Linked DNA regions of Struthio camelus. The protein of the gene in region 3 purifies or fractionates together with the protein of the main gene of each other region. This does not show direct contact. Links are inferred from orthologs where the notes say so. Each region holds a gene or a part of one and is shown on either strand. Other genes may lie near its edges. The genes, in order: NPRL2, SEC13, MIOS and SESN2.

The links.
Region 1: the proteins of MIOS (region 3) and NPRL2 purify together in Homo sapiens (affinity purification with western blotting; 3 studies listed by BioGRID and IntAct, with this or other methods). This does not show direct contact. The link is inferred for Struthio camelus from reciprocal best matches to the Homo sapiens genes MIOS and NPRL2.
Region 2: the proteins of MIOS (region 3) and SEC13 purify together in Homo sapiens (affinity purification with mass spectrometry; 5 studies listed by BioGRID and IntAct, counting the BioPlex papers as one, with this or other methods). This does not show direct contact. The link is inferred for Struthio camelus from reciprocal best matches to the Homo sapiens genes MIOS and SEC13.
Region 4: the proteins of MIOS (region 3) and SESN2 purify together in Homo sapiens (affinity purification with western blotting; 5 studies listed by BioGRID and IntAct, with this or other methods). This does not show direct contact. The link is inferred for Struthio camelus from reciprocal best matches to the Homo sapiens genes MIOS and SESN2.

Annotation. Positions count from the first base shown.
Region 1 is NC_090955.1:23,925,595-23,933,175, reverse strand, and holds the start of NPRL2 (GATOR1 complex protein NPRL2), read left to right. Parts: upstream 1-4,578; 5' UTR 4,579-4,723; coding exon 4,724-4,795; intron 4,796-5,588; coding exon 5,589-5,680; intron 5,681-6,055; exon of another isoform or gene 6,056-6,224; coding exon 6,225-6,393; intron 6,394-7,204; coding exon 7,205-7,313; intron 7,314-7,541; coding exon 7,542-7,581. Other genes in the region: transmembrane reductase CYB561D2, read right to left, coding at 3,499-4,002, 4,193-4,230, 4,315-4,441. UniProt on the Homo sapiens protein: Catalytic component of the GATOR1 complex, a multiprotein complex that functions as an inhibitor of the amino acid-sensing branch of the mTORC1 pathway.
Region 2 is NC_090955.1:845,078-852,741, forward strand, and holds the start of SEC13 (protein SEC13 homolog), read left to right. Parts: upstream 1-4,659; 5' UTR 4,660-4,766; coding exon 4,767-4,769; intron 4,770-5,117; coding exon 5,118-5,162; intron 5,163-6,005; coding exon 6,006-6,121; intron 6,122-6,407; coding exon 6,408-6,559; intron 6,560-7,495; coding exon 7,496-7,629; intron 7,630-7,664. Other genes in the region: cullin-associated NEDD8-dissociated protein 1-like, read right to left, coding at 1-77, 4,117-4,184. UniProt on the Homo sapiens protein: Functions as a component of the nuclear pore complex (NPC) and the COPII coat. At the endoplasmic reticulum, SEC13 is involved in the biogenesis of COPII-coated vesicles.
Region 3 is NC_090943.1:29,895,487-29,903,092, forward strand, and holds the start of MIOS (GATOR2 complex protein MIOS), read left to right. Parts: upstream 1-4,591; 5' UTR 4,592-4,845; exon of another isoform or gene 4,846-4,956; intron 4,957-5,215; exon of another isoform or gene 5,216-5,319; intron 5,320-5,851; 5' UTR 5,852-5,910; coding exon 5,911-7,207; intron 7,208-7,421; coding exon 7,422-7,520; intron 7,521-7,606. UniProt on the Homo sapiens protein: As a component of the GATOR2 complex, functions as an activator of the amino acid-sensing branch of the mTORC1 signaling pathway. The GATOR2 complex indirectly activates mTORC1 through the inhibition of the GATOR1 subcomplex.
Region 4 is NC_090964.1:6,449,021-6,456,610, reverse strand, and holds the start of SESN2 (sestrin-2), read left to right. Parts: upstream 1-4,575; 5' UTR 4,576-4,797; coding exon 4,798-5,310; intron 5,311-7,229; exon of another isoform or gene 7,230-7,417; coding exon of another isoform or gene 7,418-7,495; intron 7,496-7,590. UniProt on the Homo sapiens protein: Functions as an intracellular leucine sensor that negatively regulates the mTORC1 signaling pathway through the GATOR complex. In absence of leucine, binds the GATOR subcomplex GATOR2 and prevents mTORC1 signaling.

The DNA.
Region 1 (7,581 bases), on a different chromosome or scaffold from region 3:
GTTCAGACCCGCGCGCCTCCCGCCTGCGCAGGGCGGGCGTCCTGTGCGCCGTGGCAGCCACCCAGGGGGGGTGTCTCTGCTGGCAGCGGGGGCTTTCTTTCCGGGAGGGAGACATTGGACTGATCCAGCCTCAGATTTGTCCCACGCTCAACAGATAGGCTCCCTTTTCTGAGGCCTCTGCGCTTGACCACAAAGTAACCTCACGGCGCCCACAGGAGCAAAATCAGCAAGTGAGAGCGCACTTTCTTGCTTCTTTTTTTGTAATAGTGGTTGTCCAGAGTGCCCAAAACTTCTTTTTCTCCTTTCTGAAGTAACTTTTGTTCCTTATCTGAGGAATAGGAAGGCTTGCGGGTTTCTGTTCCGAATCCTTTTCCTGTATTGACCCTCCCCTGCGCTCTGGCAGGAGCTTGACATGATCAGTCCTGAGTTAGAGGTTTGCCAGGCCAGAGATTGAGAAGCCTGTTCAGAAGGAAAGTAGTTGCTCAGCACCTGCTGCTGCTGCTGCAGTGGCCTGGCGTGAGCTCCCGCTCGGGGCCGGGGCCGTCTACTCTCAGCTTTGCAGTTAGTGCATGGAACGGGAATCAATCCCCGACTTTTCCTAGAGGTGAGAGGGGCTTCATTTTGTGGTGTTGGACTTTTCTCCTTCCTCTTGTGTTGCAGTGATTCATTTCCCTGGAAGCCAGCCCCTCTGGAAGGAGCCAGTGCCCTCAGCTGCTGCTCGACTAATCCGTTTGCCAGATTATACTAGAAGCTGGAATTAGTTTTTACAGTGGGGCGCTCGCTGCCTCCTCTGGCACCAGGTTTTATTTCCTGCGGGTAGAATATGGGCTCCCCCTTCTGTTTTCCTTCCTCTGTGTTGATGGACTTTTTTTTTTTTTTTTTGATGGAGGGGATGCTCCCTGAAAAAGCTTCCCTGAAGAGCCAGCCCCAGCCGGCTGTGCCACTTCCAGCTCCTGATTTCCCTGGGCAGTTCCCAGTCTGGGACGTGGGTTGACAGTGTCATGATTATTTTTTTAAAGGACCACACAAGAAGGTTTTGTCAACCAGTAAAAACACAGAAATTTCAGTATCAATAAACAGTTCTTTCAAAGAGAGCTGCTTGGCTAGTCCCTGAGTCAGCCTCCCGCTGCTGCTGGCACGGCTCCTGGGTCGGAGCGTGGGCCGGAGCCGGGGTGCAGAGCCTGCGGGGCCTGAGCAGCCCGCTGGGGTTTGTGTTCGGGGCCAGGTTGGTACCAGGGAGGGCCTGGAGGAGGAGAGCTGAGCTTGGGCTCCTGCCTCTGGGAGAGGTTTCCCTCGCAGCCCGAGGGCAGGCCCCCAGGAAGGGGAGGCTGTACTGTTGGCTTGGCTCTTGGGTTTTAAAAGCAGGCTGGTTGGAAGGGAGGAGGTGGGAGCATACAAATAGATGCGTTCACTGGAGGACACAGACGTAGGCTTTGCTGACCCTGACCCATGTGCCTGGAAAGCCAGACGGGACAAGGAGCTGCCCTGGCCAGGCGGTCTCGCGTGGTCCCTTCAGTTTGGGGGCAACCGATGTTGCTCAAATCCTGAGTCCCCTTCCCCTTGCCACTTTCCCTGTTTGGGAGTCTGAGAGCTGGTGCCAGCTCAGCCCTGCACCAGAGCAAACACTCGTGGGAACAGCATCTTTGCTGCTTTGTTAAACGCATCCCACACACAGAGGTAGGAAACCTGTTGCTTCAGAGGGGGAAAGAGTGCCTGCTCGCCTGCTGAAAGCCTCCCTCCAGTCCCCCCAGGGCAGTAAGCAGATCTGCTATGCTGTAGCTGCCTGAACTCTTTATTAAATAAAAGCTCTGGATACAGAGGAATTTCCCAGCTGGGGAGCTGTTCTCAGCTCTCCGGCCCTGCAGAGAGCACACGATTCGCATTGAGGCGGGAGCCCCGGGGCCCTTCCAACACAGCGCGCTGGGCTGGGGAAACGGCACTTGATTCAACCAGCAGATCAAGCCTTGCGGTGCCCTGGCTGTCCAGGACGTGTCTGGTCCGGGGAGGAGGTTGCTGTGCTGGAGGAGGGCCCCCTTACACTGGCCTGCCGGCGCCCAGCAGGCGAGACGAGGCAGGATGAGGTTATTTTCTGCCTTCCAAGCGGTCGTTTTGCAGGCCAGCTCGATGGTTTGTCCTCCAGCTGAGCGCCAAGCACCATGATCAGCATCCTGAGGAGCCCGCCAGGGCTGGCCCGCTCACAGGGCTAGGCTGGAGGGGCACACGGTCCCCTCCTGCTGCGAGGGGAGCTCTGCCAAGGCACAGGGGCAGCACCGCCACCGGAGGGGGCTGGCAGGGCACGCTCTCCCCTTGCAGGGACCCAAGGCACCTCCGGCCCCTGCTGTCTGCTGGGGAGAGCTCCCTGCCACGCGTGTGCCAGCAGGAGGCAAAGGCAAAGTGCTCCCTCCTGCACTTATTTTCCTTCCACCCCTCAGAGCTGCTCTTTGGCTCAGCTGTAACAGAGCGGGGCTGCTAGGTCCAGAGGAAGTATCAGACACGGGGACAAAACAGGCCTCAGCAGACTGCTGGTTTGCAGCTCAGCTCGATAACCTGCTGTGTAAAACAACCGCTGCTGCTGCCAGGCCTAGGCTTCCCCGTTACGCTGCTCGGCACCCCAGCAGGCAGCGGGGATTTGTGCGTGGCGATAGGTGCCTGGGTTTGGGGCTGTCAAGTAGGGCTGAACACGACCAGCTCCTGCATTTGCTGGTCCCGCTGGGCTGGGCTCAGGTGCCCCCAACCCCGTGGAGCCCCCGGGGGTCCCTGCTTGGGGCTGTGCCCCCGCGCAGCTCGCCATGGACGCTACAGTCCCGCTTTGGCCCTCCTGCCCCCCGGCAGAGCTGGCTGAAGCCACAGCCCTGCCCCAGGGTTTTTGCCAGGGACGGTGCCCCTGTTGCAGGAGAGGCAACGGGGCACGTGCCCGGTGCGGCCATCGCCCCCTCTGCCTGCAGGGCTGCCATCTGCCAGGGCTCAGCCCGGCCGCCCCTCGCGGCAAGCGGGCAGCCAGGAGGCGCCAGCCCTCAGCTGAGGTGAGCAGGGACTCCCCCGAGGAACATAACAGCTCCTAGCCTGCCCACCTGCTCCAAAACAAACCTGGTGCGTAAGGGAAGAAGAGAAGGGGAGAAATCCTGAGTGACAGCTGTCATTAACCCTCTGGTTCCCAGCATCGGAGCAGGCAAGCAGTCCTCTGCCAAGCAGCAAGCCGTTGCAGGGACCAGCAGAGTTACCTGTGCCGGCAAGCTGCTCCCCTCCAAGGTGGGCGCAGGCCAGGCAGCTCCTGCCCGTCACGTGCGTTACACACATCGTAGCTGCTCCCTGAGACCAAGGTTGACACTACAGACACTCTAGGACTAACGACAGACGAGTAGGTAGAAATCTAGTTCTGAGGAGACCACTGCGACTGCAAGTAAGGGACCCCCCACGGGAGGCTTCCCAGGTCCAGCAGCCCACAGAGCCCTGGCCCTGCTGGATCGCACAAGGCAAGCTCTGATCCCCACCGGGCCCTCAGTGCTGGCTCCGTTTGCGGTACAGGTAAGCGTTGCTCACCTGGTTCATGATCACCAGGCTGGTGAGAATGGGACACAGCATCAAGAGGTACCAAGAGACGCCGGTCACCGAGGTGGTAAACCACAAGGAACACATGCCTAGCATGAGGCTGGTGCAGCCCAGGAGGTACCCGACCAGCCCCGAGGTCGCGTGGTACAGCTTTAGCTTGGCCAGCGTCCAGTTCTTCACCAGCTTGGGGTAGAGAAGGACCACACCTCCGAGGCACTGCATGCAGGTGTACAGCACGGTGAGCAGCCCCGTCAGGCCGTGCCAGGTCACGAAGTGCGCCTTGCCGTTCAGGTGCTTGTTGTAGCTGATGATGCCCAGCCCCAGCAGGGCGCAGAGGAGGGCGAGCAGCTGCAGGGCCCAGTGCACCCGCACTTTGACTTTGCGGGAGAAGGAGCGGAGCGGGGAGCTCTCCGGCGAGAAAACCAGCAGGGCTTCTGTCAGCAGGAAGGAGAACTGGGGGGGGGCAGAGGGCAGGAGAGTCGGCACCGGCCGCTTCCCCCCGGCCCCCTCCGCGCCGCGGGCGGACCCGGGGGGGCTCGACCTGCTGCCGCCCCCCCCCCCGCAGGAGGCGGCGGCGACCCCCCGCGCTCCGCCAGCGGCCCCAGCTCGGCGCTGGGGGCGGCCCCGGGGCGGCGGGACTTACCGCGAGCGCCATGAGCAGCGGGTGCCAGGAGAAGAGGCCTGGAAGGGAAGGGAGAGCGGTGAGGCCCGGCCCGGTGCGGGGCGGCCCGGCCCGGCCCGGCCCCCGCCGCCCCCCGCACTCACTGGAGCCCGGCCGCGCCGGCAGCGCCACGGCGGCGGGGAAGCCGAGCGCCGCGGCGTGGGCAGCGGCGCCCGAGGCGGCCCGCAGCGCCCGGTACAGGCGGGACTCGACCTCCCCCGGCAGCGCCATGGCGGACGGCAGCCGGCACCGCCGCCCCGCCGGGGGAGGGGGCGCGGCGGCGCCTCCTCGTTGGCCGAGGCGGCTGTCCGTCAGCGCCGGAGCCCGCCCGCGCTTCCCGCCGAGTGGCGGGCGGCGCTGTCACTCAGGGCCAAGGCTCGCCTCCGGCCGCGTGACGCAGCGGCGCTCCGTCATCCCGTGTCAGGCCGGCAGAGGCGCTCCGTGCGCACGCGGAAGCGCTACGGGAGCCGGCGGGGGCCGCTCCGCCTCGCGCCGCTCCGCGCCGCCGCCGCCATGGGCGGCAGGATCGAGTGCGTCTTCTTCAGCGAGTTCCACCCCACGCTGGGGCCCAAAATCACCTACCAGGTGGGGCCGGACCCCCTGGGGGCACTAGGGGGGCGTGATGGGCCCGGCGTCACCGACCGGGGCTGGGGGGGCACCGGGATGGGCCCGGGACCCGGCGTCACCGCCCCGGGGGGGGGGGGGGGGCACCGGGATGGGCCCGGGACCCGGCGTCACCGCCCCGGGGGGGGGGGGCACCGGGATGGGCCCGGGACCCGGCGTCACCGCCCCGGGGGGGGGGCACCGGGATGGGCCCGGGACCCGGCGTCACCGCCCCGGGGGGGGGCACCGGGATGGGCCCGGGACCCGGCATCACCGCCCCGGGGGGGGGCACCGGGATGGGCCCGGGACCCGGCGTCACCGCCCCGGGGGGGGGGGCACCGGGATGGGCCCGGGACCCGGCGTCACCGCCCCGGGGGGGGGGGCACCGGGATGGGCCCGGGACCCGGCGTCACCGACCCGGGGGGCACCGGGATGGGCCCAACATCACCAACTGGGTGTGCACCGGGATGGGCCAGGGAACCCGGCATCACTGCCCCGGGGTGGGCACTGGAGTGGGCCCGGGACCCGGCGTCACCGACCGGGACGGGCCCGGGGCCGTGGCAGCGCCCTGGGGCCGTGCCGCCCTGTGCGTGCCGTCGGGCCCACGAGCAGTCCAGTCGCTCCCCGTCCTGGGCGGTGAGCAGCCCCCAGCGCAGCCCTTGTGCCCTGCTGCCAGGGACCCGCTCGCCCACCCGCGCGTGGTGCGTCGCCCGCGAGTCCCTTTGTCCCGACGGTGTGCTGCAGGGGGAGAACTGGGCTTTCTCTGGTGCTGCAGGTCCCAGAGGACTTCATATCTCGGGAGCTCTTCGATACTATCCAGGTGTACGTCATCACAAAGCCCGAGCTGCAGAACAAGCTCATCACTGTGTGAGTGTTGTCAAGGCGCGTGTCCGGTCCCAGTGGGGTTTGCTGTCCCCACCAGAACTGGGCAGGTCTTCCCTGGTGGCTCAGCAGAGATGGCAGCCTGGTTATGTGACAACATGGAGTCTTCCAGCTGCCAGCTCTGGCTCTGGGTTCACAGGGGTTTCTGTCCCAGGGGTTAATACGTTAATTATAAGGCCCAGTGTTACTTGTGCAGAGGGTTTGAGTATCTGATTTTGGGGGTGGCTTGCACTGCCTGTGCTTCTCTGTAAGCCTCAAATCCAGGAAATTCAAATTAGTGTTGAGAGGCACACTGGTTTCGGGAAGGATGCAGGTTTTCCCTCTAATGATTGACTCTTTGCCTTGCATTTCCTTGGAAAGTCTGTTTTAGACTCTGGACAGGCTGAGCATTTGGGGAAGAGGCATCAATTTGCCGGCGGAACCAAGAGGAGCTCTGTTTCCAAAGCAAACCGGGAACTGGCCTTTCATGAGGTCACATCTCCAGCCTCCGTGAAGAGGTAGATGCAGGTTATGCCTGTCTGTCCAACAGGACTGCCATGGAGAAGAAGCTGATCGGCTGTCCTGTTTGTATCGAGCACAAGAAGTACAGCCGAAACGCTCTGCTCTTCAACCTGGGCTTCGTGTGCGACGCCAGAGCCAAGGCCTGTGCGCTGGAGCCCATAGTGAAGAAGCTGGCTGGCTACCTCACCACCCTGGAGGTAAGGCATGAGGCAAACCCGCTGCTCCAGGTTGGAGGGGGACCTGGCCAAGGGCTTCCCTCTTTCGCTGGCCTCAGGGCTAGGACAGAGTTCTTTCCCCGCCAGCCCTCAGGGGCATGAGGGCAGGCAGCCTGGCGTGGGACGTGTTTGACCGTGCTCTCCTTTGCTTGATCAGCAAGGAAGATCGTTATGCCTGCTGGTGGGTATTTGATGAGAGCTGGAAACATTGTCTCTCAGAAAAACATGCTTCTGGTGAGCTGCCCACGGTGCCCTGCCTCTGTGCGGCTGTCTGTCTGTCTCTGGCTGCTGCTCAGGATCTGCCCTGCAGCATCATCAACATCCTGGTGCAAATTGCACGTCACTGGGCGTTGCTGGGGTATGGGCCAGGCTTACGATTGAGGAGGGGGTTGTGCTGATCTTAGCTGTGCTCTTACTCTTAAGTTTAAGAGTAATAAAAAAAAAAAAAAAGCCATGCAGAGAGAGGTCTGATGAAAGCTCAGAGGAAGTTTAGGAATATTTAACTATAGAAAGACCAAGGAAAATCTGAAGCGAGCAAACTGCTCTCAGGCCTCCTGCGCGCTCCCTGCTCTGAAGACAGCTTTGATTCCTGGCAGAACCTTGCTCTGTTGATGCCGTGGGACCTCTGCTGTCGCTACAGTGCCCCTTCATTTTACTAGCCTCACTGTTTGAGGAAAGATTCTCTAAGATTGGCCGGGAAAACGAGCAGAGGAAGGGATGTGAGAGACGTGTGCGGTTCCTATAGCTGGTAATCGCACCGGGAGGAGCTGACACAACTTTCTGCTTTCTTTAGCTGGAAAGTGGCTTCATCTCCAATGAAGAGAGTAAACAGAAGCTGGTCCCGATAATGACCATCCTGCTGGAGGAGCTGAACGCCAAAGGAAAGTGCACCCTGCCCATAGGTACTGTCGCAGCAGTAGGTCTGCAGGGCAGCCGCGGCAGTAACGAGGGCTTTGCTTTCTGCTGGCTGGAGCCTTGTGGAGAGGGTTGGGGGAGGTGAGCCTTGCCTGGTGCTGGCAGCGCCTTGGTTCCCGGTGCTCACAGCCATGGCGTTCTGGGGCTGATGGTAGCGAGCGCCTGCGGGAGCAGAGGTTCCTGTGTGAACTGAGCGCTGCTTTTTCTCTGGCCAGATGAATCGAACACCATTCACCTGAAGGTGATCGAGCAGCG
Region 2 (7,664 bases), on a different chromosome or scaffold from region 3:
CTTTTTTCTCGCTGTCTTCATCTAGCTTTATAGAATCTTTCTGCAGTTCCATCATCAGGTCATTGGTGGCCATAAATCTGAAACAACATACAGCAGCAGTGGATTGGCTGATATACATACACAAATGCATTTCCTAGAGATTGGTTGGAGACTGAAACTTGATGAATAGTGCATGTACGAAAAAACACTTCCAAGCAGTAACCTACAGCCCTTTCACAGTATGCTGAAAAATAAGGCAGAAATAATCATTACTATCCTACAAGTGGAAAACTCAGAGGTAACGGCTGAAAAGGACTTAGCTAAGGAAGCTATGAAAATGAGAAATACACATTATTTCCCATTCTCTCCTCCGCTAAAAATACTTGGTAGGGATGGGGTAAACCAAGACTCTAGAATTGTCACTGTGGGATCTCGCCTGTATATTTTGTTTCGGTAACTCCAAATTGAAACGGTTAAGGATGCTAGAAAAATATTTATTTTTCTCCCCAACTGGCCAATTCTTATGAAAACGAGCCTGGGGTCTAAGAACACAACTAGCTCTGTTCTTTCTGGCTTATGTGTATCATTGACAGAATCTTTGTTACTAGCAATCAAATGCAGTAGTCGATTAGACCACTACAACAGGGAGCAGCAAGCAGTTCTGAAACTTGACTACCAATTCCAAGGGTAACGTACACACCAAAACACAGTTTAGCCTACCCTTTTCTGGAAATGATGTTTATATCACTAAAACAAATAAATGCTCAGAACAGCTAAGACAGAGTTGATCTTTCCATGCAGGAGAAGGATGGGATCATGAGATCTGGGCTTCCTCTCCAGTTCCATTTTCTAGAATTGTATGAGTCCAAACATGGAGATGGCCTATCAAGCTAAGAAAATAAGAAAACAAAGTAAACTACGCTTTAAAATTTACCTTGGCTATATTTAGATTTCCATTATTCAGCCCAGTCATAGTTTGTTTATACCCTTCTGCTCCTTGGAGCCTTTCCTAACCTAAACAGTGGTGTCATCCACATACTCAACCTCTTTCCTTACTTAGTTCCCTTCCAGAGGCTTTTTTCTGTTCCACAGAAAAGGTACTAAACATCTTGCTGCACGGACGCACTGCTAATGAAGGACACAACGCTGTGAACGGCACGCAGGCTTTTTTATCACTTGGGTCCAAGACAAATAACAGATGCTGCATCTGCGCTGCAGCTTCTATCGCTGAAAAGACCACTACAAAAGTTATCTTCCTCCAGCATTATGTGCAGCCTTGACCATCTCATTTCCCCCTTTGGATTCTTTGGTGTCCTTTTACTAAGAAGCACTCACCTGCTCTTTATTCCCTATCCACTGTCCAATTAATTACATTCAGATATGATTAACAACATAAGGTAATATTTGGCAGCAAGGACCATTTCTGATTGCACTTTTTTCTCCCATGAGCAAAATCAAGCACTGCATTTATCATTCCAGCTTAGAAAGAAAAACATATCCCAGCTCATTCCTAGTCAATATTATTTTATAATAGGGACAATGTCAAAATCAATATTGAAAAGTTCTAGAAAGTATCTATTTTCCTGGGAGCAGGATCTGTACAAGGTGCTGGTATAGAAGTCTGCGAAAAATTAAGTAGGGTTAACATGTATTAGTTCTGTTCTAATGTTAGTCCAGGCACAGAGATGAACGTCTAAAAGGCAGCACAGAGAAGCTGCTCTATTTTATTTACCAGGTGACACCTCCATTTTAAATTAGGCTCTGATGTAATTCATTCAGCAGTTAAAAGCCCTAATGTGCCAGGGCAACATTTGTATCTTCAAAGTGCAAGCTTGTTCTTCAGTAGTAAGTAGGTACATGGGGAACTAGAGACTGCTGTGGTATTAGATAACCAGCCAGCCATCCAACATGAGAAAAACAGAGCAATTCTGACCTATAATTTTAAGAATATGCAGTCTATTTCTGATTCAGCAAGAGCTATTAAGCTGCACTTTCCGCTCATCATCCGCATAGAAAAAGCATGACCAATTATGGCCACGGACTGAGCAGAAGCTGCCACAGCAACGCATCCAGCTTTCGACTGGCTACCTGCTGCCATCCTGCCCACCGGTCCCTCAGAAACTGGTATACAGATCTATTTATGGGACACAAGCACATGAAACCCAGTCCTGTAACTGAAACACGCCTGGCCACGCAGCAGAAGATAACATGCCCACGCTTAATCGTGTGCTGGGGAGAAATGTCTGTGGAATATCCCTATAAAGTGACAAATGCCCTGTGCTGGGCACATCTTGCGCGGAATATTAACTGCAAATTTCCTGAACAAACTGTTAGTGCAACTACTCCATCATCGACTTCCTTTAAAAGTATCCATTTAGCATGAGAAAAACAGCAGCAGCCTGGGCAGAAGTCACCCTACTTTTCGGGTATCAAGTCTGGCACAACTGTTACCTTCCAGGCTGACATGGAGAACAGCAGAGGCTCGTGGGCAAAATCTTTCATATTTGTTAGTTTGAACTTTTTTTTTTTTTTTAATAGAACACCTTTAATATTAAGCCACTTACCCCAACCCTAAAAAGATGTCTCTTTTTTTCTACTGACATAAACAAAAAGCAATAAAAGCATCTTAGTCCTGTTAGGGAGGCACGGCAACGGCAGTCTTTTCCCGTTGCACAGAAATAGTTCCTAAAGCAGTCTGAATACAGTCAACATCTGCAGCGTCCATCCTCTGGGTGACACAGCCTTCCAGAGCACTGTTTCTAATACACTGAACATCTAACTTCTAGGGGAAAAACAAATGAAGAACTATTTCAGCATTTTTGCTATGATGTTCTTCATTTGCAAACAAATAAGCTTTTAAAGCCTAATCTAGTTATTACTACTTTTGTTCCCCTCTCCACTTTGCTTGCTTATTTGCATTATGCTGCGATACACACAAGGGAGGGGAAAATCATTGGTGTCTCTGCTTTCCTCCCCTCAATCCTGAAAAAAATGCTCGGTTTAAAATATTGCAAAGAAAACAGATGAACGCCTTTGAGAAAAATAATACCATCCATGCCTGCAGTTAAGATTTTAGCTGCCAGCAGGGTTGGGGGGGCACTGTGCCCGCTCCTGATGCGGAGGGTCCCCTCGAGTGCAAAGGACTCCTCCATCGCAGAAGGTACTTCCCAGTGCAGGGGTCCTTCAGGTCAGGGTGCACCCCATGCAACGGGACCCCCGGCGCAACGGGGACCCCCTCAGTGCAGGGTTTTCCCCAATGCAAAGGGTTCCCCCCAACAGAGAGGGTCCCCCAGTACAGACAGCATGCCCCAATGCAGGTGCTCCCCCCCCCCGGAGTAGGGCATATCCCAGCGCAGAGGGGTCTCCAACATGCAGCAGACCCCCCAACACAGGGGGGACCCCGAACACAGGTCCTGACACCCCCAGCGCAGCCAGGACCCTCCAATACAGGTCCTGACCCCCCCAGGGCAGAGGAGACCCCCCAGGGCAGGGGGGACGCCCCCAGGGCAGGTCCTGACCCCCTAGGGTAGGGGAGATCCTCTAATACAGGTCCCGACCCCCCCCCCAGGGCAGGTCCTGACCCCCCAGGGTAGGGGAGATCCTCTAATACAGGTCCCGACCCCCCCCAGGGCAGGTCCTGACCCCCTAGGGTAGGGGAGATCCTCTAATACAGGTCCCGACCCCCCCCAGGGCAGGTCTCGACCCCCCAGGGCAGGTCCTGACCCCCCCCAGGGCAGCTCTCGACCCCCCCCTCAGGGCAGGTCCTGACCCCCCCCCCCAGGGCAGGTCTCGACCCCCCCCCCCAGGGCAGGTCCTGACCCCCCCCAGGGCAGGTCTCGACACCCCCCCCCAGGGCAGGTCCTGACCCCCCCCCCCAGGGCAGGTCTCGACCCCCCCCAGGGCAGGTCCTGACCCCCACAGTGCAGGCCCCGACCCCCCCCAGGGCAGGTCCCGACCCCCCCCAGGGCAGGTCCTGACCCCCCCCAGGGCAGGTCTCGACCCCCCCCCAGGGCAGGTCCGGACCCCCACAGTGCAGGCCCCGACCCCCTCCATACAAGCCGGTCCTGACCTCCCCCCAGAGCAGGGAAGACCCCCCCCCCAAATGCCGGTCCTGACCCCCCGGCGCAGAGGGGGCACCTGAAGTCCTTGTCGGTGGAGGTCATCTTCTCCAGGAGGTTGGAGATGTGGTAGGAGACGCTGCTCATGGCGGCGGTGGAGGTGGCGGCGGCGAGGGGGGTGTCGCGTAAAGATGGCGGCGGCGGCGGCGGCGGCGGCCGGGGGTCTGCCGCGGCCGCGCCGGGGGCGGGGCCCGAGCCGGGGCGGGGCGGAGTCAGGGGCGGGGCGGAGTCAGGGGCGGGGCGGAGTTAGAGCCGGGGGCGGGGCCAGAGCCGGGGGCGGGGCCAGAGCCGGGGGCGGGGCCCACGCGCGGCGGGGGCAGAGCTGGGGCTCGGCCGTGGTGCCCTCAGCGCTTCTCCTCCCGCAGCGCGGTTTCTCCTCAGACTAAACCCTGGCGCCCGCGCTGAAGCCCGCTGGCGCAACGGGCAAGGCCACGGGCGGGTTGGCTTTGCCGGTGGGAAGCGCTCCCGTCGTTAAGCGCTCGAGTCTGCCTCCAAAAGAGTGGAAATACCCGGAACCTTGGCGCGCGGGGCCGGCGGGCGGCCGGAACCTTGGCGCGGGGCCGGCGGGCGGCGCGCGCGGCCGGGCGCGTTTCGGCGACGGACCGCCGTGCCACGTCCCAGGGCGCGGGCGGCGGGCGGGGGCCGGTCGCCGCCGAGGGAGCCGCCGTCATGGTAGGGCCGGGGCCGCAGCGGGAGGGGTAGGGGGGACTCGCCCGGCCCCGGCCCCGGCCCCGGCCCCGGCCCCGGCCCCGGCCCCGGCCCCGGCGAGGAGCGGGGCCCGCGGCCCGCCGGGCGCTGCGTAGCTGGGCAGCCGCGGGCCCGCCCGGCCGGCCGCCGGCCCGTGCTGTCCCGCCAGGCCCTCGGAGCCCAGGGGACTCCGCTCGCCTGTCATGCGGGTTAGGGGGCCCGTAACTTGTGACCTTTTCCTTTTCCCCCTGCTTTTGTCGAAGTGTATCTTTTCAGTTGCTCAGGTTGGATGCGGAGTGTATTTGTTCATGTCTCCCCTCCTCCTCCCTGCAGGTCTCAGTAATTAACACGGTGGACACCTCCCACGAGGACATGATAGTAAGTGTCTGTGCGGGCGCGTTGTTGTTTAACACGGCCGCGGTGGGGGCGGGGGGAACTAAACGCGGTTCAGCTCTGTTAACTGTACTGTCTTATGAGATTAACTTTACGGCACTTGCTTAGGTGGAATGAAGAATATAATGCATATGCTCTGTAGATAAAGATGTGTGTTGGGGGGGGGGGGGTTATTAGATGGAGAAAGCATACCACTACTAGAAAATCCAGTAGTGCCATTTCATCCCATGTAGACCGCAAAATGGAGCTACCTAGGGAAGGAGAAATAATTCTAAACTTTAACTTTGATATCTAGACTTGCTTCTGTGAAACCAAATATATGCATATGCTAAATGGTACAGAACTGGATAAGTTAGATTCATTTTTTTTATGTGGATGTTTCTGGGAACAGAGGTGTAAGCACAGATACAAAGACAGATTTCAAAGTGATTTGAAGGAACAATGCGTTAGTAGAGTTAAATAACGCAATTTCAAACATAAATAAGATAGAGCAGTATTTTTATTCAAATTTTACCTATTCAGAAACAAAAATATTTAACTTTGTCGAGGCTTTACAATCGGTGACACTGATTTCCTGCCCTCTCCTGAAAATACTGTATATTGCTACTCTGAATTCCCTAGATTACTTCTGCACTAACTTTTGCACTGTGAAACCAGTAATGGGGAGAGGGATGATTTATGTGGATTGTCTAGATTGCTTTAAAACTGTACTCTTTATCCCGCCATCCTGGGAGTCGGTCATTGCTTGCAATTCTTAGAGCTACTTTTAAAATGTAATAATTGTTAACAAATCAAAATTTACGCAGCAGTTTTTCCGTTACCTTATAGCATGATGCTCAGATGGATTATTACGGCACTCGGTTAGCAACCTGTTCTTCAGACAGATCTGTGAAAATCTTTGATGTTCGGAACGGAGGGCAAATCCTCATAGCAGACCTAAGAGGGTAAAGTGCGTTAATCAGAAGAATTTATTCTGTGGAAAATTGTAATAGTTCATCATTTTGCCTTTTGATAATGTAAGAAGCATAGTAAATTCCTCTAAGATAGTATTTGCTACGGTGAGTTGTTGCTAAACAACTCTTCAGAGCTGCGAGAGGGAACAGAGACCCAGTTAGAAATAACAGTGTGGCTTTTTAATTCATTGAATGCTGGCCGCCTATAACTTCCTGGAAGTATGCTCTTATTTGTTAATATGTAGATAAATATTTGTTTTCACATTGTTTCTTGCAGGCATGAAGGTCCAGTGTGGCAAGTTGCCTGGGCTCATCCTATGTATGGAAATATCCTAGCTTCCTGTTCCTATGACAGGAAGGTTATTATTTGGAAAGAAGAAAATGGCACTTGGGAAAAGACGTATGAGTACACAGGGCATGATTCCTCAGGTATGTGGTATTTGGAGCTGGGAAGTGAAACTGGGGATAAAAGGGGATTCAGATAAGATTGGAATAAATCCTTCGGTGTTAAGGGAAAAAAAGTGTTTATCAAACAGAAAAGGATTGAATTAATGGAGACACAGGAAGTCTAGTCAACATAAGGATGACGTTTATGTAAAGGCATACTGCTTGAAAACCAGCTGTTTTAATTCATGTAATGTTTGCATTGCAGTTGTTCTACAAATAAATCAGCTTTCAAATAAATAGGTAGTATTCAGAATTCTTGATCCAATATTGCATGTGTCCACTCTAGGAAGAAAGAAAAATTGGATTTTTAGCGTGCTATGTTTTGTTTTACAACGGAAGCTGCTTTGTTCAGATGACTGGTCCTCCTACAGCCAAATCTGAGAAGTCTCCCAAGTTTTGAGTACGCTAAAGCCCTAAGATGATGATAGTGGCCTCCTGAGAAAGGAAAGACAGTAGCTAGTTTTGCTGTTCAGCATTATTCTCAAAGGGATCAATGAAACTGCTCTTGATCAATGCTCCGAAGACTAAGCCTGCATGGAAAATGAGAGGAGGGCTACTTGTTTGATACACAGCTTTGTTTTGTTACTTATGTAGACCTATAATTACTATTCCTGTCACTTGGCTTTCGTTCTAGAGTCAGTGACGCTCTGTGCTGTTGTAGGGTATAGTCAGGGTTTTTTACTCTCATTAAAAGCATTCTTTCAGTGTTCCCTTTCTAAAAAGGTGCCAAAAACACTGGCAGATTTCCATCATTCAGGGAACCGAATTAACCGACTGGCTTTGAAATTTAAGAACGCTAAGACTCACGTTCTTAGTTTTCAAAGTTGTTCACTTCTAGTGACTATTCACTAATATTAGTCAGTTTGTCAGTTTTAGCTAGTCACTGTGTTGTAATCTAGTCTTTCTCATTTTTCACAGTGAATTCTGTCTGCTGGGCACCACATGACTATGGACTGATACTGGCCTGCGGGAGCTCTGATGGGGCCATTTCGTTATTGAGCTACACGGGTGATGGGCAGTGGGAAGTCAAAAAGATCAGCAATGCACATACTGTAAGTGTTCTCTTGGAGCAATACGGACTTCTTGG
Region 3 (7,606 bases):
GTATGTTTCTGTTAGCAATACAAACTACCACGGACTGAAGGAATAAGAAATGTAGAACTGACCCAGTGTGAGAATTACTGTGTATCAAGTGTAGCTTGCTTGTCCTGACCCTTGAACTGGAAACATCTCCTCTCCCACTCATTTACGAGCCTGCAAACTCCTGCTTTGTTACCTACCAAAGTACATTTTAATTGTCACTGTTAGAAAAGGAGAAAGTGTAGCCTTGCTAGTTACTTACTAACTTTGTTGTCATCTCATCCGTCAGATGAAGATCATCCAGGCACAGAACAGGTAAAAGAAAATTAGAAGATATCAAATGTAGTTTTTCTGCATTGTCCCTTTTCTTAGAAAACCCCATGGTAAAAAAAAAGTGTTCTAAAACTTCTAGCTGCTGCAACCATACCCTGGACATTTGGACTGTCTAGGGGATCCACACCATCAGTCATTAAAAAAGCCACTTTCACACTTTGGTTACAACCTTCAGTTTTAAAGAGCTGAGCAGCATTAGAAATTGCCTAATAGGAATAGATGCCATGGCCAATAAAACTCATACTCTTGATTTTGTCTTTAAAATTCTACACATTTTTCCAAGCTGTAAAGGGATGATCAAGGCTGACTGTGCTGCTCAACAGCATACTTGCCAGTTTGACATTATACTTCTGAGATTTAACTTGTTTCATCAAAAAAATATTGTCATGTAAGTTGTAAACAATTCTCTTCTGTGCTTCAGACAATCCATTATTTACACTTTCTGAACTGTCCAAGATATATACTGTATCCAAGAGATACATATCACCTGTAATAGAATAAAAAGTTGCAGAGACACATCAATGAACATTGCAGAAACTTGTGCCTTAGAATTTAGATAACTCACTGGACCATTTCTAGCTTTGTCCCTTCCTCCTTTGTCCCATTAAATTACCTCATTCTGCAAAAAGTAATAATGATGAAATTCTGCTCCAAATTACATCATTACAAATTTATCACAACAAGTCATCCATGCTTGATTAAAACCACTCATACCAAGGACCTAAATTCTCTTAGCCTTAAATTTACATAATAGGTTGCCCAGCAAATTAATTTACTAAAAATGATGAGCATTGTCATAATTTCCCAATGTGAAAAATAATGATTAAGTTTCATCTATGTTCATCTGAAACTACATAAATGCAGGAATAAACAGTGGAACACACTGCAATATGCACATTATATTCTACTGAAAAAAACAAATAAAATTGTTTTAATCTGGACAATTATCATTCTGTATCAGACCATTAGGCTTTTGTAGTCTCTTTCTGGTTTGTCCATAAACCATTTGGTACGTGAAGACAGCCAAAAGCATAAAACAACAGGCTGAATGTTTTAACTACATAGTGATTCTGATCCAGAATCAGATGACTTACTCTTCCTTTTAAAAGAAAGCAAGTATCTATCACACTTTGATAATAACAAGCAAATATATAGATGCACATACTGTATATGCAGAACTGGGCATTCCATTGAGCACATTTTGGATCTAGAAGCAGATTCAAAAGAATAACATAAACAAAATGGTGACAACTTATTAAATACATGCAAGAAATCACAACAACAAGTAAAATCTCAGCTGTAGCTCATTTATTGAGCTCTTTGAGAGAAAATACAGGCTGAATACACATGGTTTTTCTCATTATATTTTCTGAAGACTATCTAACTTTCAGTTCTAAGATAGGCAGATGATACCTCCATTATTACTGTAGTATTACTAGCAGAAACAGAAAATATTTTTTTAAAAACTGTTACTAACAAATAACTGAATTTACAATCCATATTTCTAAACTGAACTTTATATGTGGATTTACTTTCAGGTTTACAATGCTGAGTGTACATTCTCTTTTTCTTTAGAGGCACTGGTTCACATGTGAAATTCTAAGTCTTCACACCTTATGAGCTTTTAGTAACCGGGTATATAGAATTGTTTGGAAAATAAAAAATACTAGTCAATGTGGTAACTAATTTCTTCAATACAGATTCTCAAATATACTAATTTCAAAAACTGCCAACAGCCTAAGAGTAGTTAATTTCAAATATCATCATTAGAATTACACAATAAATTATCAGTATAATAAACATATTTATTAAACATGTTCTGAGTATTTTTTCAGCAGCTGAAAATCTATTAATATTTTTCTGAGAAGATAAAAAGGAAAAATACACCAAACAAAACAGTAATATAACAACTAGAATTAATAAGAGCAACACATACATTTATATATTCTGCTGTTTTTGTTCAGTACTCGGATAATTTCATTTGTGAAAAATGCTCTAAACTATTTATTTTCTTACCTTTCAATGCATTTAAGCAGCAAAATGTAGACCAAACTTCAAGTGACAAGGTGACCTGAGAATATGTTTTTATAGGACCAATATGAAAATGAATAGCTTCTCTTCTTATAATGAAGATTACCTTGCCTATGAATCCTTTTGGTACTGTATTCACGTTTTGTTAATCAAAATTGAATCTAGTGGTTAGGCATTTAGCCGAACTTACATATATGGGTGAAATAAAAAGTCATTTATTAAAGGGACAGAATCTATGAAGTATTGTCAGTGCTTTCTTAAATTCAATTACCAGATTTATACATGCAAACTCTGCTTATCAATAACCACTGTCGGCACTTACGTCTTTTTTGGCCATAAGATGCTTCTTTTTCCTGCTGATGCACTGAAAAATACTTGACAAGGGATGGCCGGCTCAAAGTACCATCATCAACAGTAGATAAAGAATATACTTTCTATTCTGGAGCACCCTACACACTACCTGTGCCCAGTACGCTAAGGAGTATAATTATATTGTTTAAGTTTGAAAAAAAGAAACAGAGAAGAGAAGCAGATTGCATCATTGAAAGGGCAAAAGGGCCTCCTGTATTACATGACAAAATTTCAGCAACTGATTCCAGCACTATATCCATAAAATATGTAAATACAATAAAACATTTCTTTTAGTTGATTTAAAGAGTTCCAGTGGTAGAGAATAATACCACATATTTGATATCTGTTCCAGGAACTGTTTCTTCTTCAAAATGTGTATCTAATATTCTGCCAGAAGACATCAAGAGTTATTGGCTCTTAAAATGCCTTTATCTGCAAGCCCTCTAGTATCAGCCCTGTATTCATAAGTATAAACTGACAGTACTGGCAGGAGAATATTTTTCCACATAGAAAATGTCCAAACTTTTTGGGCTTGTTTTGGTTTTCTGAAGAACTCCAACTTCAAAGATACATCACTGTGGGTACTTCAGAGGGATTTTAGGTCACTTGCCATCTTCCATCTTCTGACCACACAAGTAGATTCTCTAGCTGGCCTGGACATCTCATATTCAGCACCTCCTCTACCATATTGGCGACAGAAAAGAAGTTTTGAGTTGTGGTGCATCTGCTTTACAGACAAGGACTAATATAAAACACAACTCAACTGTGTCACCCTTTGGAGCAGAAATATTTAATTTTCAGTTGCATTAATATGTCACAGAATTACTTGCACGGAAAGCAAAATTATAGCATAGCAAAATAAAATTTTACTTAGAAAACCCCCCAACCTTCCCACGTGGAAAAGTTTTGACAGAATTTTTTATAAGCTCTATTTATCAACCATGGAGAACTTTCTTTTCATGTCTGCAGAAGTACTGGATTTACTGCATGTGCACGTGAGTAAGTCTGTATGTGCTACGTTGCCATTACTGAGAAGCACCTGGAAAAGGCAGAAGCTGGGAGAACGCCTGTTGCCAGAAGCCTATGTCACATCCCCATTCTGTGCTCGAAGGACTCTGCAGAACCATTTGCAAGGCAAACAGGCAACAGCAGGATACAAACTGAATAAAATTTCCTGGTTGGTTTTATATATGACATCTCAGTTCACATCCGTTGCATTTTTCAGTAAATAAGACCGTGTAGTTGTTTCACACTTGCTAACTGATTCTACTGACTTGTAAAATCTAGGTATCCTTGCCACTGTTGCCCTTTTCCCACCTCTGCCACTGGCCTACTTTTCAACGCACACCTTCCAGTTATGATAAAGACATTGAACAACGTTACCCTGAGCAATAAGAGTATTTCAACGAATTAAAGAAAGAAGTGGGTGTCAAATGGTCTCCTTCCCAGCTATGCTGCCTTCATGGGGCAACCCCCACTCAGCCGTAAGAATTTTTGTGTCTTCACTGGTGCCCTCACTGGAAAAAAACAACCCCTCCCCCCCGCCCCAAGCTTTTCAGTTTTAACCAAGTCAGTTGCGGGCGCTGCACAGGCCGGTCTCTGGGCATTTTGAGGGTGTCTGTTCAGGGGCAGGGAACTCAGAGCCTCCGCTTCGTTCAGCAACGCCACTGTCACCCACCGCTGTACCGGGGTACCGCGAACTGCCCCAAACCTGCCGTTTCCGCGCCATTTCAGGGCCGCACGCGCAACCCCCGGACCCGCTACCACCTCACACAACTCATCAACCGCCGCTTCCGCAGGCGCCCCGCCCCCCGCAGACACCGCCCGCGACGCCTCCGCGCACGGCCCCGCCTCCTCCCGCCTCGGCACCGCCCACCGCGCCGCCGCCGCCGCCCGCCTCGCGGCACGCGAGGGGCGGCGCTTCCGCTGGACCAATGGAAGGAGACAGCAGCGCCGCAGCCCGAAACTGGAGGTTCCCTTCGCCCGCCCGCCCCGGAAGTGGCACGAGCTTTTCTTCCCCGTTGCCCCCCGCAACCGGAAGTCGTTGTGCGCCTCCCACTCGTGCCGCTGGGCCAGTGGGGCCGGACTGGGCCGCGGTCCCAGCCCCGCCGGTGGCGCGGCGGCGGCGGCGCTCTCGGAGGCCCCGCGCGGTGGGTGAGCAGCTGCCGCGCCCGAGGCGGGACGGGGCGAGGCGGAGGGTGGCGCTCCGCTCCGTTGCCGCCACCGCTGTGTCCCGGCGGGCCTCGCCGGCGGCGTCCTCGCTCGGTGGGCCGCTGCGCCGGGGAGGCGGGGCCGGGCCGGGCTCCGGGCTCCGGGAGGGGGGTGCCTGCGCTGCCCTGGAGCCCTCGGGAGTCCGGCTGGGGAGCCGCGGGAGAGCGAGGGCGGGGAGAGTAACCCGCAGACCCCGAAAGGAGGCTGGGGAAAGGAAGTAGTGCTTTGTTTCTTATACTTTCCCCGTCTGCTAAATATTTCTCCCAAGTTTAAAAGGTTATGGGATTGATGAGATCCTTTTTTTTGTGTGTAGGCACATGTAATTAGTCTGGACGTTCACCTGCTGAAAATGTAAATGCAAGTTAGCATAAGCGTGAGTTTATGAACGCCTCTCCACGACATATCAACAAAATCAAGGTAGTGTTGGTGCAGAAAGTAGTATTAGGAACAGTAGAATAAGATGAGGAGTGGAAAGTTGTATTCCTCTACAAATGTTCAAAGAGAGTAAGCCTTTTTAGGCTTCAGAGAAAACAGGCAGACTCTAATTTCTGTCAGTGCACTTAAATTAGGCAGAAAAATTTTCTTATACATGTTCTAGGGTGTGGCTCTTTACCAGCAGCACACTCATGGATCATGCCACATCACGTTTCAGTTGATCCTTTCTTCCTGGTATAATAATGATGTAATACTGGCATGGATTTTGTAGACACACTGAACCCTGTTGTCAGTTTTGTAGATGGCTATGTTGGTTTCTCAGGAGGTATAGTCCAGCAAAAACAAAGCATGCTGTAGGGAAAGTGATGTAACGTGTAGAGCGCTTAAGGTTTGTTTAGCCCTTAGACTAAAAGTAATTCAGAGCCTTACTCTTCTTTGTTTAAGAATGATCTCTGATTATGAAGGGGTTTGAGGGTTTTTTTGATAACATTGCTAAAAATTACTTTCTCAACAGTTTCTATGTGAATGGATATCACCTGAATCCTCCTACAAGAGTTTAAACTTACCCTAAATATGAGTGGCTCCAAACCTGATATTCTTTGGGCCCCACACCATGTTGACCGTTTTGTTGTATGTGATTCAGAATTAAGTCTTTACCACATTGAATCTGCTGTAAGTTCAGAACTGAAGGCAGGGTCCCTGCGGTTATCAGAAGAAACTACAGCTACGTTATTGTCCATAAATTCAGATACACCGTATATGAAATGTGTGGCTTGGTATCCAAAGTACGATCCTGAATGTCTTCTTGCTGTTGGACAGGCCAATGGTCGAGTGGTACTTACTAGCCTTGGTCAAGATCACAACTCAAAATCTAAAGATTTGATCGGCAAAGAGTTTGTTCCCAAACATGCACGACAATGTAATACTCTAGCGTGGAATCCACTAGACAGTAATTGGCTTGCTGCTGGATTAGATAAACACCGGGCTGACTTTTCAGTATTGATCTGGGATATTAGTAGCAAATTTGCCCCAGAGACGGCAGTTGCTACAGAGAAGGTGAGACTTTCAGCAGGAGATCCAGAAGCAGGACTGGTAGTAACAAAGCCGCTTTATGAATTAGGACAGAACGATGCTTGTCTCTCTCTTTGTTGGCTTCCACGGGATCAGAAGCTTCTTTTAGCTGGCATGCACCGAAATCTTGCTATCTTTGATCTAAGGAACACAAGCCAAAAAATATTTGTAAATACCAAGGCTGTTCAGGGAGTGACTGTCGATCCATATTTCCATGATCGTGTAGCTTCTTTCTATGAAGGTCAGGTTGCCATATGGGATTTGAGGAAGTTTGAAAAGCCTGTTTTGACCTTGACAGAGCAACCAAAACCTCTAACAAAAGTAGCATGGTGTCCAACAAGAACTGGACTGTTAGCTACTTTAACAAGGGATAGTAATATCATTAGATTGTATGACATGCAGCATACACCTACACCTATTGGAGATGAAACTGAGCCGACAATCATTGAAAGAAGTGTCCAACCCTGTGAAAACTACATTGCTTCATTTGCTTGGCATCCCACAAGTCAAAATCGAATGGTGGTAGTGACTCCCAATAGAACTATGTCCGACTTCACAGTTTTTGAAAGGATTTCTCTTGCGTGGAGTCCAGTAACATCTTTAATGTGGGCTTGTGGGCGACATTTATATGAATGTACAGAAGAAGGAAAGGCTAGTTCCTTGGAAAAAGACATAGCTACCAAAATGCGGCTGAGAGCTCTATCAAGATATGGTCTTGACACTGAACAAGTGTGGAGAAATCACCTCCTAGCTGGAAATGAGGATCCTCAGCTGAAATCGCTTTGGTATACGCTGCATTATATCCTTTATTTCACTGTATTATTTTATGGTATTAATTCTGAAGAAGTAACATACCTTTATATGTAAACCAATGATATGAAAAGCATGAAAGTCTTAAATAATGCAACATCCTGTAAATACTTTGTGTATGTTAATAGCATATGATCTTTTAGTTTAAAAAAATGTTTTCCAAATGCTTGGGGAAAAATTAAGCTTCCTATACATGAAAATACTCATGAAGCAGTATACTGAAGATATGGATCAAAAACTTACAGGAAACAAAGGTCCCTTAGTTTATGCTGGCATTAAATCAATTGTGAAGTCATCTTTGGGTAAGAATGTTCCAACTTTAATATGTTATAGCATATTTACACAAGGATGCACTTGTGGGTTCATTTAAAAAAAAAATTAAAAGAGG
Region 4 (7,590 bases), on a different chromosome or scaffold from region 3:
TGGTGGCCCAAAACTCTCCTGATACTTCCATCTGAACGTGCTCCTTGGCCCTTGTGGGAGCTGTAGGTCAACGTGTTGTGGCTTTGCTTCTCATCTGTCATTGCAGCTTCCTAGTGAGGCGACCAGTTCTCTGATGCACCTTGCTTTCCTCTGGCGGGGCAGATGTGCTGTGTCCCTGAACCTGTCTGTCCTCAGGGCACTGCCTGTAGTGGAGAACGAGGAACTGCAAACCGTAGCTCTGAAGAAACACCTCAGCAGCTTTTCCAACTCAAAATATTCTCTCTTTTATGTTTTTCAAAATCTAGAGCTGTACGCGGAGAACAGCCATTGTTTGGGAAAGCATTAATTGTGACAAATGCCCAAATTTGTAGTTAAACACCGAGAAGAAAAATAGTTTCTAGGGAATCTTTTTCATCAGTCTTATTCTTCTGATCTCTTTGGCTTCTAATGCCTGTGAAAAGAGACTGATTTGTGTGCATTGAGACATATTTGAAAGGAAAGAGATGGTGTATTTCAGATGGCTGTTGCCTCCTCTAACTTGCCCCCCTTAGGAACTGTATTACAGTAGCTCACAGAGGGTAGCAGTCTGTCCTAAGTCCACTGGCTACAGCCTTACAACCCCAGTGGAAGGAACAGTTGTATATTTTTCTTCATAGCCTCTTCCAGGTGAGTCATTCATTTTTTTAGCAGCCATTAGTGCTACTTTCAGGGAAGGAGAAAGGACAGGATGTAAGTTTTCTTCCCCTTTCTTTTGAGCTCTGAGTTACTACTTCTGATGTGGTTGTTTTCCACCTGTAAATGGTCAGAGTTTTCGTCCTGGATTTGTTGGACCTCTGGCTCCCTGAAGTAGCCACAAGCCGTGTCGAGGGAGGGATGTCCTGCTTGAAGCATTTAGGTTATTGCCACCTTGCTGAGTTATTGTGGCTCAGCTGACTCAGGGTAACTTGTTGTAGGAATTTACGAACGGCTGTGCTAGGTCAGACCATAAATCTAGATGAGTACCCTCTCTCGCCAGGTAAAGGCCACGGAGGGGATCCTGGGGAAGAGGGTACAAAACCAGATCATGAACAAAGCAATAGTTTGTTGGCTTCTAGCACCCAGTGGCTTAGGGGCTTCCTGAGGTGAGCGTTGCACCTGTGGCCTTTAGTAGCTCCTGGTACTTTCCTCTTAGGTCCGTTTTTAGCCAAAGGTGGCTAAATCGCAAGCTCTTAGCCTGCCACAGTTGCCAAGTCAAATGCTCTCCTGGCGCAAGAAGGCAACGCGTGCAGAGACAATCTGCTTGGCAGCGCTTTCTCTGGTTAGCGCTACGTAACTGTGCCAGTGGTGCTTAGCATTTATATGGCGCTTAATCTCTGCTGATCGCAGCGCAAACCTTGCTGTATCCTTGAAAGTGCCCAATTATCCTCATTTACAGCAGGTAGGAAGATAGATAAGAGAACTGCTTTGCCGAAGGCTAGGCTACAAGTCAGTGGGTAGAGCTGGAACCAGAGTGTAATTTCCTCAGTTCCTCAAGCCCTTGCTCTCCACCTTCGGTATTGTGTCTCGGAGGGGCCACTTTGTCTCTGCCCTGACAGAGCTGCAGGGAGAATTTCAAATGGGTTGTGGGCAATTTTTGCAATTCCCAGCCAGACCTTGAGTAAGAATTGATTGGCTCCTGCCTTTATCTGCTAGTGCACACTTCCTTCTCTCTGTGGTTTATTCAGTGGTCCTAAAGCAGCCTGCATGTTTGCAAAAGGGATTTTTTTTTTATTTTGGGTTGTGATTACTCTATTTCAAAGCTTTCGGAAAATATCCTCTGCTGGTTTTGACGGTAGCTGAATGCGCTTGAAAAGAATCTTATATACTGATCTCAGCTGCCTCCTCGTAATGACATCAGGGTTGAAAATTAGACTTCCAGTTTTTGGGCCCCATTCCACTAGTTTAGGTGAGCTGACACTCAGCTAGCCCTCGCCGTCTTCCAGCGTCAAGAGGCTGCAACTTCAGAAATGTTAACCTAGGTAGTTCGAGTTGGTTGGGTTTTCAGGACACAATGAAAATGTATTGCAAAGCAATTTTTGACCTCTACTAACCAAGAGGATTCAACTTTTTTTTTTTTTTTTTAAGTAATTACTTGAATAAATGTCTCCTTTCCAAAGCTGTAGGCCCCCTGGCAAGGATCTGGAACTTTAATAGGCGAATGAATAAACTGCTTTGCAGCCTAACAGCGTGTACCCGCAGCAGAAGTAAACTGCCTTAACCAGCTGGTAATTACAGAGAAACATGCTCCCTTCCATTCCTTTCCCTAATTGCTGGGGCTGTCTGGGAGCGCTGGCTCACATAGCATGCCCTGGAGGGCGACAGGTTTGTGCTGCATTGTCTTTAAAAAAAAAAAAACAAAACAAACACCTAAGGGTCTTAAAATCCTTTAAAGCTTCAGCAACTTATGTTTTGTAACTGATCCAGGAGAGGTGAGCGCAAGCCTCATTCTCGAGATGAGGAAAGAAGGGGCAGAAAGGTGAAGCGAAACAAGCTGTCTGAGAGACGAGGCTTCTTGCAAAGTCAGCGGAGAGGGCAGTGGGTGCTTCGGAGGCGGGCGATGCAGAGCACCGCAGAGAGCAAATGGGGCTTTAGGGGTGGGAATATTCAGCATTACCTACTACTCTCTCTTATCTGCTAGGAGGATAAAATTGGAATGGAAAATTAGACCAGCTCCTTTGGGTTGGTGCTTTCCCTCTTCCACAAGAGAGGTTTCCCACAAAGAAAGCTCGGCTACCCTTTGCCTCCTTCCAAAGGGAATCTCGAAAGGTCCGGGAGTCCAAAGGCGTTGGGGCTGTTACCCCAGTCCTTACCAGTGTACGACCACACAGTACTCAGTGCTCCCTCCTGAGGCGCATGGAAACGCTCTCTCCTGCAGGTTGCTAAAGCTCCAAAACAGCTTGGACCAGTACAAGCCACTGTTTCTGATGTGTTTACGCTCCTGAAGCTCTATCCCTCTATTTGCAGCGCAGGATCCTTAACAGAGAGAAGACCCGGGGGCAGGTGGAGCTGGGTATTTGCCGTTCGCCTTGGTTTCAGGTGGCGCTGCGACGCTTCCGACCGCGTTGCAGGGTTAGCTTCACCCTCTGCGGGTTCAAATGATGCAACCGCTGTCAGGCTCTGATGTCCTGCTGCGGAGGAATTTCCCTCTTCTCCACCCTGCAAACGGATTAGGCTTCCCTATCACATCCCACCAAGCCCGAATGCCTGTAGTTTTTCCGGCAGGAGGCTGTAACGGGGGGAGGCACAGAGTAACCAGCCTGTGCTGGCAAACCAGCTTGCCGCTCGTTTGATAGGAGCAAAGCGCATAGGAAAAGGAAATGCTTAAATAACTGTGTGTGACTTACCTACTGCAGATCCTCCCCCCCGGCTCCCTGCAGAGAGGAGAGTCCCCGTGCGGTCTCTGCTGCCTCCCTTTGTCCTTGGGGTTTTTTGCCTGGCTGGAAACACCAGGCCGGCGAAAGCCAAGCAAGGCAACGGCTGTCCCTGGATGACCTCACTATTTGCTAAAAGGTGACTTATCTTAAGCAATCTGTCTTGCCTTCCCGTTCAGCTTTCTTAACAGCACTCTGTTGAACTAAATCAACAGATTGTACAGTCAGCATCTAGCTAACTAGGGCGCTCGCAGTGCCTAAATAATTACAGAGCCGTTGTGTGTTCCCCATGCTTGGTGCTTCTGCAAACAGGGCGTTTGGCTTCGGCTCTCGAAGCCTCTAGAAAAGTTTGCCTCTGCTTTGTCGCCCTCCTCTCAACGAATGTTGTAACGATCCTCGTTGCGCAAGCTGTGCTGCTGTGTGGCGGGGAAACCCTCGTGAAGTAGCCAGCGCAGAGAAACCCTTATGCAGTCGGATTTCCCTGAAGAACGAGCGCTGCTGAATTCAAATTGCCGCAGAAGCAAAAGGTGAGACCTCAAGCGCTCTTTGGTGGGGCTTGTGGGACAGAAGGCCGAGCAGAGGGCTGCCAAGCAGGACCTGAGATGCTGCCGCTTGCTCTGGGACTGCCTGGTGCCACCGGTTTTGCTTCGGTAGCTCTACCCCCTGCTAGGCTGGGGGCCAGTTCCCTGCTTGGCACCAAACTGGTTCATCCTAGAGAGGCTCTCAAGTCACGAGGGCAGACGTGAAGCTCTCCTGGTGCCGGGGCTGGCGCGCGGTGCCCTCCCCACCCAAACCTCCCGGGAGGGCCGAGGCCGGCAGGACGCCGGTCCTGCGCGCGGAGGCGTTCCCTCCCGCCCGGCGTCGAGGCCAGTCGGTGAGACGGCGTGGGCAAAGTCTGCCCGGCTGCTGGGGCAGCAGGTTCGTGGCGCGGACGGGGGCTCCCGACAGAGCCGTGCACATCTGGAGCGCGCCTGTTTAGGAAAGACAAGGCAGCACCCTCTCGCCGCGGCTGTCTCCATGCCAGAGAAAGCTGCAGAGGGTTTTCTTGCAGGGAAATTTAACTAAATGCAAAGGCTCAGGGACTGCTTTGGGCTGTTTTTCACTTTTGTTTATTCACTGCAGAATAAACGTGCAGGGGTGTGGATAGAAGGGATTTGGAGTGGTCAACCCCATCCAGCACAGAGACCGCCCCTGAATCTCTGCACGTTTCAGCAGGCAGCTCCTTGCCTGCGCTGCCTCCTCCTACGTGGCAAAGCCCCAAGAAGCCTTGGGCAAGGTGCTGTCCGATGGGGATCTCTGCTCCTGTTGCCAGGCTGCTTTTCAAGAGCAACTTCCAGGGGCTGGGCGGAGGAATGAAGCCTCTGACATTTTTCCAGCAGTTGTTTCAGGCCTGATCCTACAGGCAGTCATGGCTGGACCTGGCGGTGGTTTGGACGGGGTTGGGGGGGCTCTGAGCAGCTCCTGGGATCACGTGCAAGGAGCTGGGTGCAGCGGGAAGCCGCCGGCCGTCCCCAGCGTGCCCCAGCTCGACAGCGCTCCGGGCCTCGCTCTGCCCCTCCTGGCGGACAGAGCAAGAAGGTTGCGGCGGCTGGAGATGCTCCTGTTGGCTGCAGCCCTGTGGTTGGGTTGCAAATCACCTGCAAATCACCGAAGAGGCCCAGGCAACGCGGAGCCGTGGGAGAGGAGCCCCTTTGCATCTCTTGCAGCACCACCACCACCGGGTGGAAGGGGGAGAGAGAAAACCCCCAGGGCCAGCGCCGAGCGCGGAGGGTACAAGCCCCTTGCAGCTAAGAGGTGGCAGCAGGTCATCTCCTTTTGCCAGGCTGCTGTCGAGAGAGGGGAGAAGCTGCTGACAGCCCGAGCCGGCTGGTACGTGGGAAGGAGCATTGCAAACAGGCCAGGAAAAGTGCTGAGGCTGCAGGTAACCGGCCGCGCGCCTCTAATCGGCCGGCGACGGCTCAGCCAGGGCTGCGGAGCAGATGGGGGATCGCGTGCCGCTCCTTATTGCCGAGCGAGCGCACTGCTCGTCCCTGCAGCCGCCCGACCTCGCTCGGCCCTTCCTTCCCCTCCGGAGGCTCTGGGCAGCAGGCTCTGGGGCGGCTCGGTCCTGGCGTAGCCCTCGATGTCTTCTGGGGGGATGTTTTTATCTTAAATATTTGGTACTGCCCGGGGGGGCGGAGGGGGCTGCTCAGCCGCGCATCCTGGGCCTTGCTGCGCTGCGGGGTGCAGCGGGTGCAAATCCCTGCCACGGGGGTCCGGCCGGGCTCGCTGCCGCGCTGTCCCACGATGCGGGTTCTCGCTAAGGGGGCTGCGTCCTGCCCCGCTGCCACGGAGCCGAGGGCCTCCGGGCGCTCGGCCCCCTGCTCGTTGCCGCCGCCGCGGTCTCGAAGGCTCGGCTGCTCGGCGAGCTGTCGCTCCGGGCGCAGGGCCGAGCCGGGCGCGCCAGCCGGCGGAGGCTTCGGCCCCCGATCTCCCACCCCGCACCGGGCGTGAATCCGGATCTGACCGTTCCCCCCAGGCTGATGATAAATATTTTGGGAGCAGAGGGTTGCTCCATCTCGGGGCTCCGCCCTGGAGCATCCTGAGCATCCTCGAGCTCTCTTTACCCCACGCAACGCCGCAGCTCCTGCGGGGTTTGCAGAGCAGGTTCCCCTCTTTTTGTAGCCATTTCTACCTGGGAGACGTGGACCGAAACGGCGTCTCCGGCAGGAGCGACTGCCCTCGTCCGGGCGCCGCGGGCTGGGCGAGCTCTGGCGCTTTCGCCGCGAGCCGCGCTGTGACGGAGGAGGTACAGGCTGCCTGATCCGCTCCCGAGCGCTAGGTTTTGGCCGAGTTGTCTTAAAACCGGTGGTTGGGTTGCATGCACCTTCCCCAAAGCCGGGTGCAGGGATCCGGGCTCGGCGCTGCACCGGTGCCGCGGGGAGCGTGGGGGCCCCGGGCAGCCTGGTCCTTGCTTCACCCGTCTCCCCTTCAAATCTGATGCAATTAAAAAAAGGGAGCTAAAAAGCTCCCGTTCCTCTCAAATAACACAAACGCGAACGTCCGGGCGCCGCTGGGAGCCCCAAACCCGCGCCAAGCCGCGCTCGTGAAACCCCACTAAAAATAGCCCTAGGTGCATGCAGGCCTGCAGGCGCCGGGAAGGGGGAAGGCGGTCAGAGGCGCGCGAAGCTCCCGGCGCCGAGCTGCCCAGCACCGCTGCGCCGAGGCGCAAGGACGCGTTCGCCTAATTGGCGGCCGCTCGGCACGGCAGCCGGAGGAGGCTGTTGCCAGGCGAAACCCGAGTTGTTTGTGCAGCGACTTGCGTGCGCTGGACTTTGCCGCGTGCGGGCTGTCAGGCAGCGCCAGATTGTTATCAGCGCTGCTGTCCGGGGCCTCTTTTTTCCTGTTTTTGTTTTCCTTTTCTTCCCTCCTCTCCCCTTCTTTTATTGCGATCGGCGTTCGCTATTGCAAGGGAGGGGAGCCGGCGCTGGAGCGGGGAGCGGGCGGGAGGGCACGGCTGCTCTTTTCGGGGGGAGGCTGCTGTTTTGCACCGCAGCTGAGGGTGGAACCGCTGGGTGCAAAGCCGGGGCGCGGGTCAGGGCCGGGGGTGCCAGCTCCCCCCTTTCTCGGGGCGGGGGACGCCGTTGGGCCCTGGGCAGAGCGGCCCTGGCCGCCCCGCACGGCCGGACTGGGGCAAACCGGTGCAAGCGGAAAGGCGGGACGCGCGGCGCGCTCCGCCCTCGGCACGCGCCGGGGGGCCGCGCGCCCCCACCACCCCGCGGACTACAACCCCCGGCAGCCCCCGCGCCGCCCCTCGCTATTGGCGGCCGGCCCCGCCGAGGCCCCGCCCCCAGAGACCCCATTGGCCGAGCGGCGCTCGGGGCGGGGCCAGATGGGTTAACACCCCCCCGGCCCCCCTGCGGTCGCGCTATGAAGGAGCCGCGGGTGTCGGGCCGCGCTGCTCTAGAACCGAGGAGCGTTCTAGAGCCCCGGGGCGGTTCTAGATCTCGCGGGCGGTTCTAGACCCCCCGGCCCGGCCCGGCGCTGCCATGCTGGTGGCGGGCTCACAGTGCGGCCCCCCGGGGCTGGTGGAGTACCGGGGCTGCGGGGCCCTGCGCGGCGGCGAGGTAAGAGGGTGCCTGCCCGCCCCGTCGGGGGGGGGGGGGTCGGGGCGCTTTGGGGGACCGAGACCCGGGACTCCGTCCTGTCCCTTTACCCGTGT